Arabidopsis thaliana: one gene and its partner. The protein of the gene in region 1 interacts with the protein of each later gene in a pairwise test. Each region holds a gene or a part of one and is shown in the gene's direction. Other genes may lie near its edges.

Evidence for each region. The genes of interacting proteins can lie anywhere in the genome.
Region 2: the proteins of RLP30 (region 1) and ACBP2 interact in a protein complementation assay, tested with the Arabidopsis thaliana proteins (one large-scale study listed by BioGRID).

What each region holds. Positions count from the first base shown.
Region 1 is NC_003074.8:1,530,138-1,535,299, reverse strand, and holds RLP30 (receptor like protein 30), read left to right. Parts: upstream 1-1,938; 5' UTR 1,939-2,039; coding exon 2,040-4,400; 3' UTR 4,401-4,632; downstream 4,633-5,162. Other genes in the region: AT3G05365 (uncharacterized protein), read left to right, coding at 208-314, 593-732, 830-924; AT3G05350 (Metallopeptidase M24 family protein), read left to right, coding at 1,457-1,783, 5,044-5,162. UniProt on the Arabidopsis thaliana protein: Receptor for microbe-associated molecular patterns (MAMPs) that induces a BAK1-dependent basal immune response to necrotrophic fungi (e.g.
Region 2 is NC_003075.7:13,845,772-13,850,491, forward strand, and holds ACBP2 (acyl-CoA binding protein 2), read left to right. Parts: upstream 1-1,777; 5' UTR 1,778-2,002; coding exon 2,003-2,490; intron 2,491-2,766; coding exon 2,767-2,869; intron 2,870-2,949; coding exon 2,950-3,053; intron 3,054-3,316; coding exon 3,317-3,408; coding exon of another isoform or gene 3,409-3,413; exon of another isoform or gene 3,414-3,493; coding exon 3,494-3,591; intron 3,592-3,678; coding exon 3,679-3,858; 3' UTR 3,859-4,163; downstream 4,164-4,720. Other genes in the region: FEY (NAD(P)-binding Rossmann-fold superfamily protein), read left to right, coding at 40-141, 263-355, 457-792; AT4G27790 (Calcium-binding EF hand family protein), read left to right, coding at 4,295-4,720. UniProt on the Arabidopsis thaliana protein: Binds medium- and long-chain acyl-CoA esters with very high affinity. Can interact in vitro with palmitoyl-CoA, but not with oleoyl-CoA. Binds to lead ions (Pb). May function as an intracellular carrier of acyl-CoA esters.

The sequences.
Region 1 (5,162 bases):
CTCACTCTCAAAAATCCATCGCGTGTCTTATTTTTTTTGGTTTTCTTCTCTAAACCAAATTAAACCGAACCGAGATCAATTTGAATTTCAAAACCAATGTAAACCCATCAAACCCATCGCTGTGAAAACAAAAAGCTCGGCCACTGTAACAACAAAAATGGAGACGACACAACTTGGAAGAGAAATCAACTCTAAATAGCCAAGAGAATGTTCGAAAACCCCCTCAAATCCGATGCTTCCTTTGATTCCAACCTCCAAAAGCCCATCTGCTCAAATCTTCATTTCGAGGATGAGGACTCGAGGAGTATTACAAGGTACCTCAATAGAATCAATGGCTTCCATGGATTTTGAAACTTTACTTCTAATAAACACCATTGTAATGTCTTGTTGTGAAGTTGTGTAAGGAACAAAGGATAGTGAAAGCTGAAGAGTGGGATTCGTTTATGGAGTTTCAGAGTTTTTTTTGACTAAGTGGCCTCTGTTTTTGATTCTTCAGTGGTCAATTTTGTGATGGGATTTGATTGAAATTGGAGAATGATTTCATGAAATCTCTTCGGGCTGAGGTTGATTCATGACTCTTTCATTTTTCTAGTGTCTCATTGATGATAGACATAAGAAGCATACTTAAGGCCATAGAGAGTGGTGAATTGGAGGCAATCAAGCCTTTGCCTTGGTACCCTAAGAATCTTTCTTTTCACGGAAGGAGATTAGAAAAAACCAGATACTTGAGAGGTACATTTTCATGCCAGTTGCTTCAGAACAAGTATTCACTTCCATTCCCTTACTTGTGTTAGTTCAGCGCTTGAGAAATATTATGATCTTGTTTCAGACTTTCAGCTGTCAAGAGACAAGGCCCGTTTTACTATCAGGTTAAAATCATGGTCAGCTTCTTGTCCCAAACCACATTGTTGCAAGGTTTTGTAATAAATCTTGGCTCGATAATGCATTCAGAAACTTCTTCTACTCATATCTCAAAATATGTTTTGAATTCTAAACCCCATGGTTATCAATATAAAGAATATTAGTATCTATTTTTCTCTTTTCTGGTGTGGTTGCAATTTATCGTTTGTCTCTTTCGTGGAAACCCTTAATTCAGGCGGTATTAAGTCTTTCTCATAAAACTTTCTAAGTCAAACCAAAATTCCAATCGAAATTCTCAGCATGAAAGTCTCGAACACGTTTACATTTCTTACGCACCCAAAGACTCTTGCTTCTTGCACACGTCTCTCTTGGCTGTCCTTTACCATAACGAATTTGATGAGATTGTTTCAAAATAAAATGTTTCTTTTTGACAAGTCTGGGATTTTAATGTAATTATCAATAGTCATGCACATTATACAACATTTAAAAGAATACGGGGGTTGTTTTGCAATTTTCAGTAGTTATACACATTTATCCGTAATCACTCTGCTCAAGAAGCTTCTCCTCTTGTGTGATTCTCCTGCAATCGCTGGTGATGATTCCTCTAACTCTTTCGTCGCCGTCTCTGAATCGGCTCGTTTTATCCACATCACGTTACTCACACTCTCTATTTCTCAGCAATTTCAATTCGCTCTCTCTGATCCACCGGAAATTACCGTATAAACCTCTTTTTGGCGCAAGGTGTCATGCTAGTAGCAGCAGCAGCAGCTCTTCCTCCTTCACGGCAAAGTCTTCCAAAGAGATTCGTAAAGCTCAAACCAAAGTAGTTGTCGACGAGAAGCTTAGCTCGATCCGGCGACTGTTTTCGGAGCCGGGTGTTGGAATCGACGCTTATATCATACCTTCACAAGATGCACATCAGGTTCTCTTTTTTTAAACCTCTTCTTAACTCGTGATTACGAATTGAATAGGAAGTTCTAGTAGATTCAAAACTGTTCAATTGTGTGTGTTTTTAAGTCAATTATTGGTCCAAGTGGGCAAGTTTGACTATAGAAAGGAGTAGGTAGAAGTCTACTAGAGAGCTGCAAATTTGTGTTTTGTTTTCTATTTTTCTCTCTCTCTAAATAGAGACGTAGAAGCCATAGCTATCATAACCTGTTACTTACAAAACAAACAAAATGATTCCAAGCCAATCTAATTCCTTTTCTGGTAGTGTTATTACCTTGTATTTCTTCCTCCTGGGTTCCCTTGTTCTACGCACTCTTGCTTCTTCTAGGCTTCACTATTGCCGCCATGACCAAAGGGATGCTCTTCTCGAGTTCAAACACGAGTTTCCGGTAAGTGAATCGAAGCCAAGTCCATCGTTGAGTTCATGGAACAAGACTAGTGATTGCTGTTTTTGGGAGGGTGTCACGTGCGATGATGAATCTGGCGAGGTGGTTTCACTTGACCTTAGTTATGTCCTTCTCAACAACTCTTTGAAACCAACTAGTGGTCTTTTCAAACTCCAACAACTCCAGAACCTGACTCTCAGTGATTGCCATCTCTATGGAGAGGTTACTTCTTCACTAGGAAACCTTTCTCGTCTCACGCATCTTGACCTTTCGAGTAATCAGCTGACAGGTGAAGTTCTGGCTTCGGTCAGTAAGCTAAACCAACTTAGAGACCTTTTACTTTCCGAAAACAGTTTTAGTGGTAACATTCCTACTTCATTTACCAATTTAACGAAGCTTTCTAGTTTAGACATCTCTAGCAATCAGTTCACATTGGAAAATTTCTCTTTCATACTACCAAATTTAACCAGCTTGTCCTCCTTAAACGTTGCCTCTAATCACTTTAAATCCACGCTTCCATCTGATATGAGTGGACTCCACAACTTGAAATATTTTGATGTGCGTGAGAATTCATTTGTCGGGACTTTTCCTACATCCTTATTCACGATTCCTTCGTTACAAATTGTTTATTTGGAAGGAAACCAGTTCATGGGACCTATAAAGTTTGGGAATATATCTTCATCTTCTAGGCTTTGGGATCTAAACCTTGCTGATAACAAATTCGATGGGCCAATCCCTGAATATATATCTGAAATTCACAGTCTCATAGTACTAGATCTTAGCCACAACAACTTAGTTGGGCCAATCCCCACTTCTATATCAAAGTTGGTCAACCTTCAGCATCTTAGTCTTTCAAACAATACCTTGGAAGGCGAAGTGCCAGGTTGCTTATGGGGATTGATGACAGTGACACTTTCCCACAATTCTTTCAACAGTTTTGGAAAGTCATCATCCGGAGCTTTGGATGGAGAATCAATGCAGGAGTTGGATCTTGGTTCGAATTCACTTGGAGGACCTTTTCCCCATTGGATCTGCAAGCAAAGGTTCTTAAAGTACTTAGACTTGTCCAACAATCTCTTCAACGGCTCAATTCCTCCTTGTTTGAAAAATTCCACTTATTGGCTTAAAGGGCTAGTTCTGCGTAACAACAGCTTCAGCGGATTTCTCCCAGACGTATTTGTCAATGCTAGCATGTTATTATCACTTGACGTTAGCTACAACCGGTTGGAGGGAAAACTTCCAAAATCCCTGATCAATTGCACTGGTATGGAACTTCTGAATGTGGGAAGCAACATAATCAAGGACACTTTTCCATCCTGGTTGGTTTCTTTGCCATCATTACGTGTCCTCATCCTCAGATCTAATGCATTCTATGGGTCGTTATATTATGACCACATATCTTTTGGGTTTCAACATTTGAGACTCATTGATATATCACAGAATGGCTTCAGTGGAACTTTGTCACCTTTATATTTCTCCAATTGGCGTGAGATGGTGACATCTGTCTTAGAAGAAAACGGCTCTAATATAGGTACAGAGGATTGGTACATGGGCGAGAAAGGGCCCGAGTTCAGCCATAGTAATTCGATGACTATGATATATAAAGGAGTAGAAACGGACTTCTTGCGGATCCCATATTTCTTCAGAGCCATTGACTTTTCTGGAAACAGATTTTTTGGGAATATACCTGAATCCGTTGGTTTGTTGAAGGAATTGCGTCTTCTCAATTTGTCAGGTAACTCATTCACAAGCAATATCCCTCAGTCATTGGCAAATTTGACAAATCTTGAGACATTGGACCTATCCCGGAATCAGCTATCAGGTCACATCCCTCGAGATCTTGGTAGCCTCTCTTTTCTGTCGACCATGAATTTCTCCCATAACCTTCTCGAAGGTCCAGTTCCACTAGGCACTCAGTTTCAAAGCCAACATTGTTCTACATTCATGGACAACCTCAGACTCTACGGTCTTGAGAAAATCTGTGGAAAAGCTCATGCCCCGAGTTCTACACCACTAGAATCCGAGGAATTTTCGGAACCAGAAGAACAAGTGATTAACTGGATAGCAGCGGCAATAGCCTACGGACCTGGTGTGTTTTGTGGATTAGTTATTGGACATATCTTCTTTACTGCACACAAACACGAGTGGTTCATGGAAAAATTCCATCGAAACAAGCGCAGAGTAGTCACCACAAGTGCTCGTTGAACACCATCACCTCTCACAATTTCTCTGAGTGATTGTGAAACGTATATGTTTGTTATGATATCTGTCAGTTGTGTTATGCATAAACTCTTTGTCTTTGTAATTTTCTACTTTATGGTATTGTAAGAAACGGCTTTGGTGGTATCTGATCTTCTATATGTTGGGTTGAAAATGCATTCAGATTTTTCTTCCTAGTCAAATCTCAACTTGTCATAAGAGGATGTTTCAATTGTAGAGCCAAATGGAAGTTCTTCTTCTTCTAAATCACAGTATGAAATTCTCCAACTCGTGTTTTATTTCATTCTCCCCAAAGTTTCTTGCTCCGCTCACACGTCAATCTTGCTGTCCCTGAGTATACCAAATTCGATTTGGAGATTCAAGATAAAAAATAAATATGATTTGGACCAGTGCGGGGGTTGTTATGCATCTATGCAATTGTTTTTGCCATTTTGATATGGGTAATGTGTTGTTTCGGTGAATTTTACATACTAGGAGCTTAAGATCTACTTTCATAACTGATGTTGCCTGTAATATATTTCTGTGCCATTAGGAAAGTCACAAATTTATGTTTTACTTCTAAATGTATCCATAAACTGCCTGAGTTTTTCATGGCTTGAGTGTGATTTTTCTCCATATTTTGTACTAGAGCGAGTTCATCGCAGAGTGCTATGCCAGGAGGGCTTATATATCAGGATTTACTGGAAGTGCTGGTACCGCTGTTGTCACCAAGGATAAGGCAGCTCTATGGACAGATGGCCGCTATTT
Region 2 (4,720 bases), on another chromosome or scaffold:
TTCATGCAAGATAATGGGTTGTGGGATTCACTTTTGTAGATGCATAGTGTCGGTTTTGTTGACCCGGATGACATGAATGTTGTTTCTGGTAGACGTAAGTACTCAAGCCTTATAGGATACTCAAGCAGCAAGCTTGCCCAGGTGAGCTTACAGTAATGACATCTGCCGTAGTTTTCATCTGCCGTAGTTTCCATTTTCTGAAAGAGGCTTATTTTCAGAAACTGGTGAGTTAAGTCTCGCTCTCTGATCTTCCATCTTCCAGATTATGTTTAGTAGCATTCTTTTCAAAAAGCTTCCTCTGGAAACAGGAGTCAGCGTCGTATGTCTATCCCCTGGTGTTGTCCTAACAAATGTTGTGAGTATTAGCTTCACTTCATTTCGTTACAAGTGCAGGATTCCTCTGTTTTCTCAGAAATTCATTGCGTTGAACTGCCTATTTCTTTCCGAAATTTACAGGCCAGGGATCTATCCAGGATTCTTCAAGCTCTTTACGCAGTGATACCTTATTTCATATTTTCACCCCAAGAAGGTTGTAGAAGTTCTCTATTCTCGGCCACAGATCCTCAGATTCCAGAGTACTGGGAAACACTAAAAAACGATGATTGGCCTGTTTGCCCATTCATCTCTCAAGATTGCCGCCCTGCAAATCCTTCCGAAGAAGCACACAACACAGAAACTGCACAGAGAGTGTGGAAAAAGACGTTAGAGCTGGTGGGTCTTCCTCTCGATGCAGTTGAGAAGCTCATAGAAGGGGAAAATATCCAATGCCGGTATGGAGCACAACACGAATAGTCTTTCAAAATTACCACAGGTTAAGTGACCCATTACAGATCAAAGGGTAGGTAATTGAGAAAATATCTTTTTTTTTTGTTTCCTTGTATTAATCTACACGATACAGTGGGGAATGAATCCCCCAGGCATGTAGTTTGCTTGAGAATGTTTGATTGTTGGATAAAAGTCAAGCTTTAGCTACCATTCCATTGCTTTTACTTACAAGTCTTGTTCAAGTATTTGGTTAGTGTGTCTTGGAGTTATTAAGATGTTCAGTAGTAGAGTATGGTAGCCTGGGTTGGTGGGTAGTTTCTTGTTTGAGTTTAGGGTATTTTCGTAATTTTCTTTATTGTTTGTGGAGTCACGTTGCTCATATATAGTTATAGGGATATATATCAATTAGAGTCATCATCTCTCTTACTCTCATGGTGACAAAGTCACAAAAGTGATAAACTCTCCTTTCCACTTTCTAATGTTTCTTGCTTAAATGAGTATTCCATGTAAAAATGATTCACTCACTCGTATGGGTGGGTTGGGTTTTCTCTTCATGAGATGCTCATTTGAGCAAGCAATGTTTGGAAGTGGGACTATTTAATATCATGTATGAGTTTTATCTTTTGTTATAAGAAAAAAAGTTGGGATTTCATTTTCGTGCCCACTTCACGTGAATCTAATGCCTTCAAGTTTGTGGTCTACCTTATTTTCTCTTATGGATACATGTCAATTTACGTGTCGTATGAGTCAAGCCTTTAATCATCCCAACACCATGCACGTCTTCTAGATTTGTTTTCGACCACGATTCCACCACAAAATTTGACATTGTTATTGAATTCATTAACTTTTTTACGTGTTATTGTGAAATATTTATTTAATTTTGTTGGTAAAAGGAGCAAAAAAGATTAGGGTACAACACGTCGACTTCTTCCCCAATTAGACCCATATGTGATCTGTCGTCACTCGTCGCCAAGTTTTTTTATGTGTCGTCTTTTAAACTTTGATCCAATTCATTAAAAAGTCTTAACGCCCACAACGAAAAGGAACTTCTCTTTTTGTTTGGTGACTGAATCGGTGGAAAACAACACAAGTTTGTTCCTTTTTGTCTCTCCAGATCCCTTGGCTTCCTTCTTCTTCTTCATCCTCCTCGTGAGACTCTGTGTTGAAATTTCTCTAGGGTTTTAATTATCGGCGTTGGTTTTTCGTTTTTGAGAATTTGATTTCGTTTTTAGAAATAATGGGTGATTGGGCTCAACTTGCTCAGTCTGTGATCCTAGGTTTGATTTTCTCTTACCTTCTCGCTAAGCTGATCTCGATCGTCGTCACGTTTAAAGAAGACAATCTCTCTCTTACTCGTCACCCAGAGGAGTCTCAATTGGAAATTAAACCGGAAGGAGTTGACTCGCGACGTCTCGATTCCTCTTGCGGTGGTTTCGGTGGTGAGGCGGATTCGCTTGTGGCGGAGCAGGGTAGCTCCCGAAGTGATAGCGTTGCCGGTGACGACAGTGAGGAAGATGATGATTGGGAAGGCGTCGAGAGCACGGAACTCGATGAGGCTTTTAGCGCCGCCACTCTTTTTGTGACTACCGCCGCCGCAGATCGGCTTTCGCAGAAGGTACCGAGTGATGTGCAGCAGCAGCTTTACGGATTGTATAAGATTGCTACGGAAGGGCCGTGTACTGCTCCTCAGCCATCAGCTCTCAAAATGACTGCTCGTGCCAAGTGGTATCTCTCTCTTTCGTTGAATCTGCTGTGCCATTAACTTCTATGTATCATTTTCTGGTGTTTTTGTTCAACTGTTTGAGATTTGATTTGAGGTGGAAATTTTTGAGGTTTTAGGTTCTTCATAGACAATCACCTAGTTTGCTTCTTAGCTTATGCAACTGCTGGACGATGATGTGGTTTTTACTGTTGTAACAGTTGATTGTATATGGAATTGTGGTTTGTTGTAAGATTGCAATTTCATTGATTGGGATGTGCCATGATCTTGTTCTATCTCAGGCAAGCATGGCAGAAACTGGGAGCTATGCCACCTGAAGAGGCGATGGAGAAGTATATTGAGATTGTCACTCAGCTTTACCCAACTTGGTTAGACGGTGGCGTGGTATAAAGCTTTTTCCCCTTTTCTTTGTTTGATTGCTTCGGTTTCTTCCTCTGGCCTGTTCATGTGAGCTTCACTAACAGAAAGCCGGAAGTCGGGGTGGGGATGATGCAGCCTCCAACTCAAGAGGAACCATGGGACCAGTTTTTAGCTCTTTGGTTTATGATGAGGAGTCCGAAAATGAGTTGTAAGGTTCTCTTCTTGTATTCTCATGTGTTTTATATCCTGATCCTTGCGTTCATGTCTAGATTAGATATAAGTATCCTGATTTGTGAAAGAGGCTCATAAACTCGGTGAATATGTAACATTACTGTCTCGTTCTAGCTGTAGCAAATTTTGATGGTGAAATGGCTACAATTGTCTCATGGAACTTTGAGCTGTTCGTTTCTTCCTGTCTATCTGAATGAAACACTAATCCTCTGCTCATTGAACTTTTGTTTTATCTCTCAGGAAGATTGATGCCATACACGGATTTGCTAGAGAAGGAGAAGTCGAGAATTTACTGAAAAGCATTGAAAGCGGCATTCCTGTAAATGCAAGGGGTTAGTCTCTGCTTGTATATTCCGTTTCTTGGAAGTTCATTCTCGTGATGTTGGATCTGCATTCTAATTTTCCCATAAACTGCAGACAGTGAAGGTCGCACACCATTGCACTGGGCTATAGACCGTGGCCACCTCAACATCGCCAAAGTTCTGGTCGATAAGAACGCCGATGTGAATGCTAAGGTGACGAAAGAGAAATTCCTACCCAGTCATTATCTGCAAAGTTAGCAACTTCTTTATTTATGTGTTTTTGGTTCTTGTGTTGAACAGGACAACGAAGGCCAAACCCCTTTGCATTATGCTGTTGTATGCGACAGAGAAGCTATCGCCGAGTTTCTGGTTAAACAGAACGCAAACACAGCCGCTAAAGATGAGGATGGAAACTCTCCCCTTGATCTCTGTGAATCAGACTGGCCCTGGATCCGAGATTCTGCAAAGCAGGCAGACTAAACAAATACTAACCACGTCTTCTCTAAATCCGCAATGTATATGATCAAATGACTTAGTAAGAAGCTTTTCTTTACTTTAAACTTTCTTTCCATCCCTACCACATCACTGGGATGTTCCAACACTATATCACTTGGATGTTACCAAGTCTTGTTCTTTGATTTCTTTCTTCTTACATTTTAACAATCTTTTGTTCCTTTAGGCTTTATGATATGTCGTAACCGGTTTTGTTGGTTTGCTATAAATACACACATATAGACAGAGGAAGAGTCATTGGATCCTCAACGAATAAATAACCGACTTTGGCGGCAAAAACGGTTGATAGAACATAATTTAATGATTTAAGGAAAGCCCCCAATAAAGCAAATACAAAAACAGAATTAGCAATCTTCGTGGCCCTTTCGTCTTCTCTCCCTACCCCACCTTGGACTACCGGAAAATGGCCAAGGTGGTGGTTTACACGATACTAACCGCCACCATCATCTTCCTCATCCTCCTCGCTCATAAGAAACAAAACCAGACTCAATCCATTGAGGGTCTCATAACCCGCCGCATCGGACGGAGGCTTGAAATGCCGGTGTTTGACCCTTTGGTGACCCGGATTGAGAGGTTGTCTCATGAGAAAGAAGCTGGTACGAAGACCGTGGAGGCTGCGAAAGAGGAGAAAGATGATATGTTTGAGGAGTATTTTGCACAAGAGAGAAGGCTTAACACGACAATGAGGATCAAGTTCTTGTTTCCTCTGCTTGACGCGTCTCCAAGAGATGGCTTTGTGAGCTTGAAAGAGCTTCAGACATGGATGATGCAACAGACAGAAGACAACATGGTTTACAGAACCGCCAAAGAGCTTGAGCTACAAGATAAG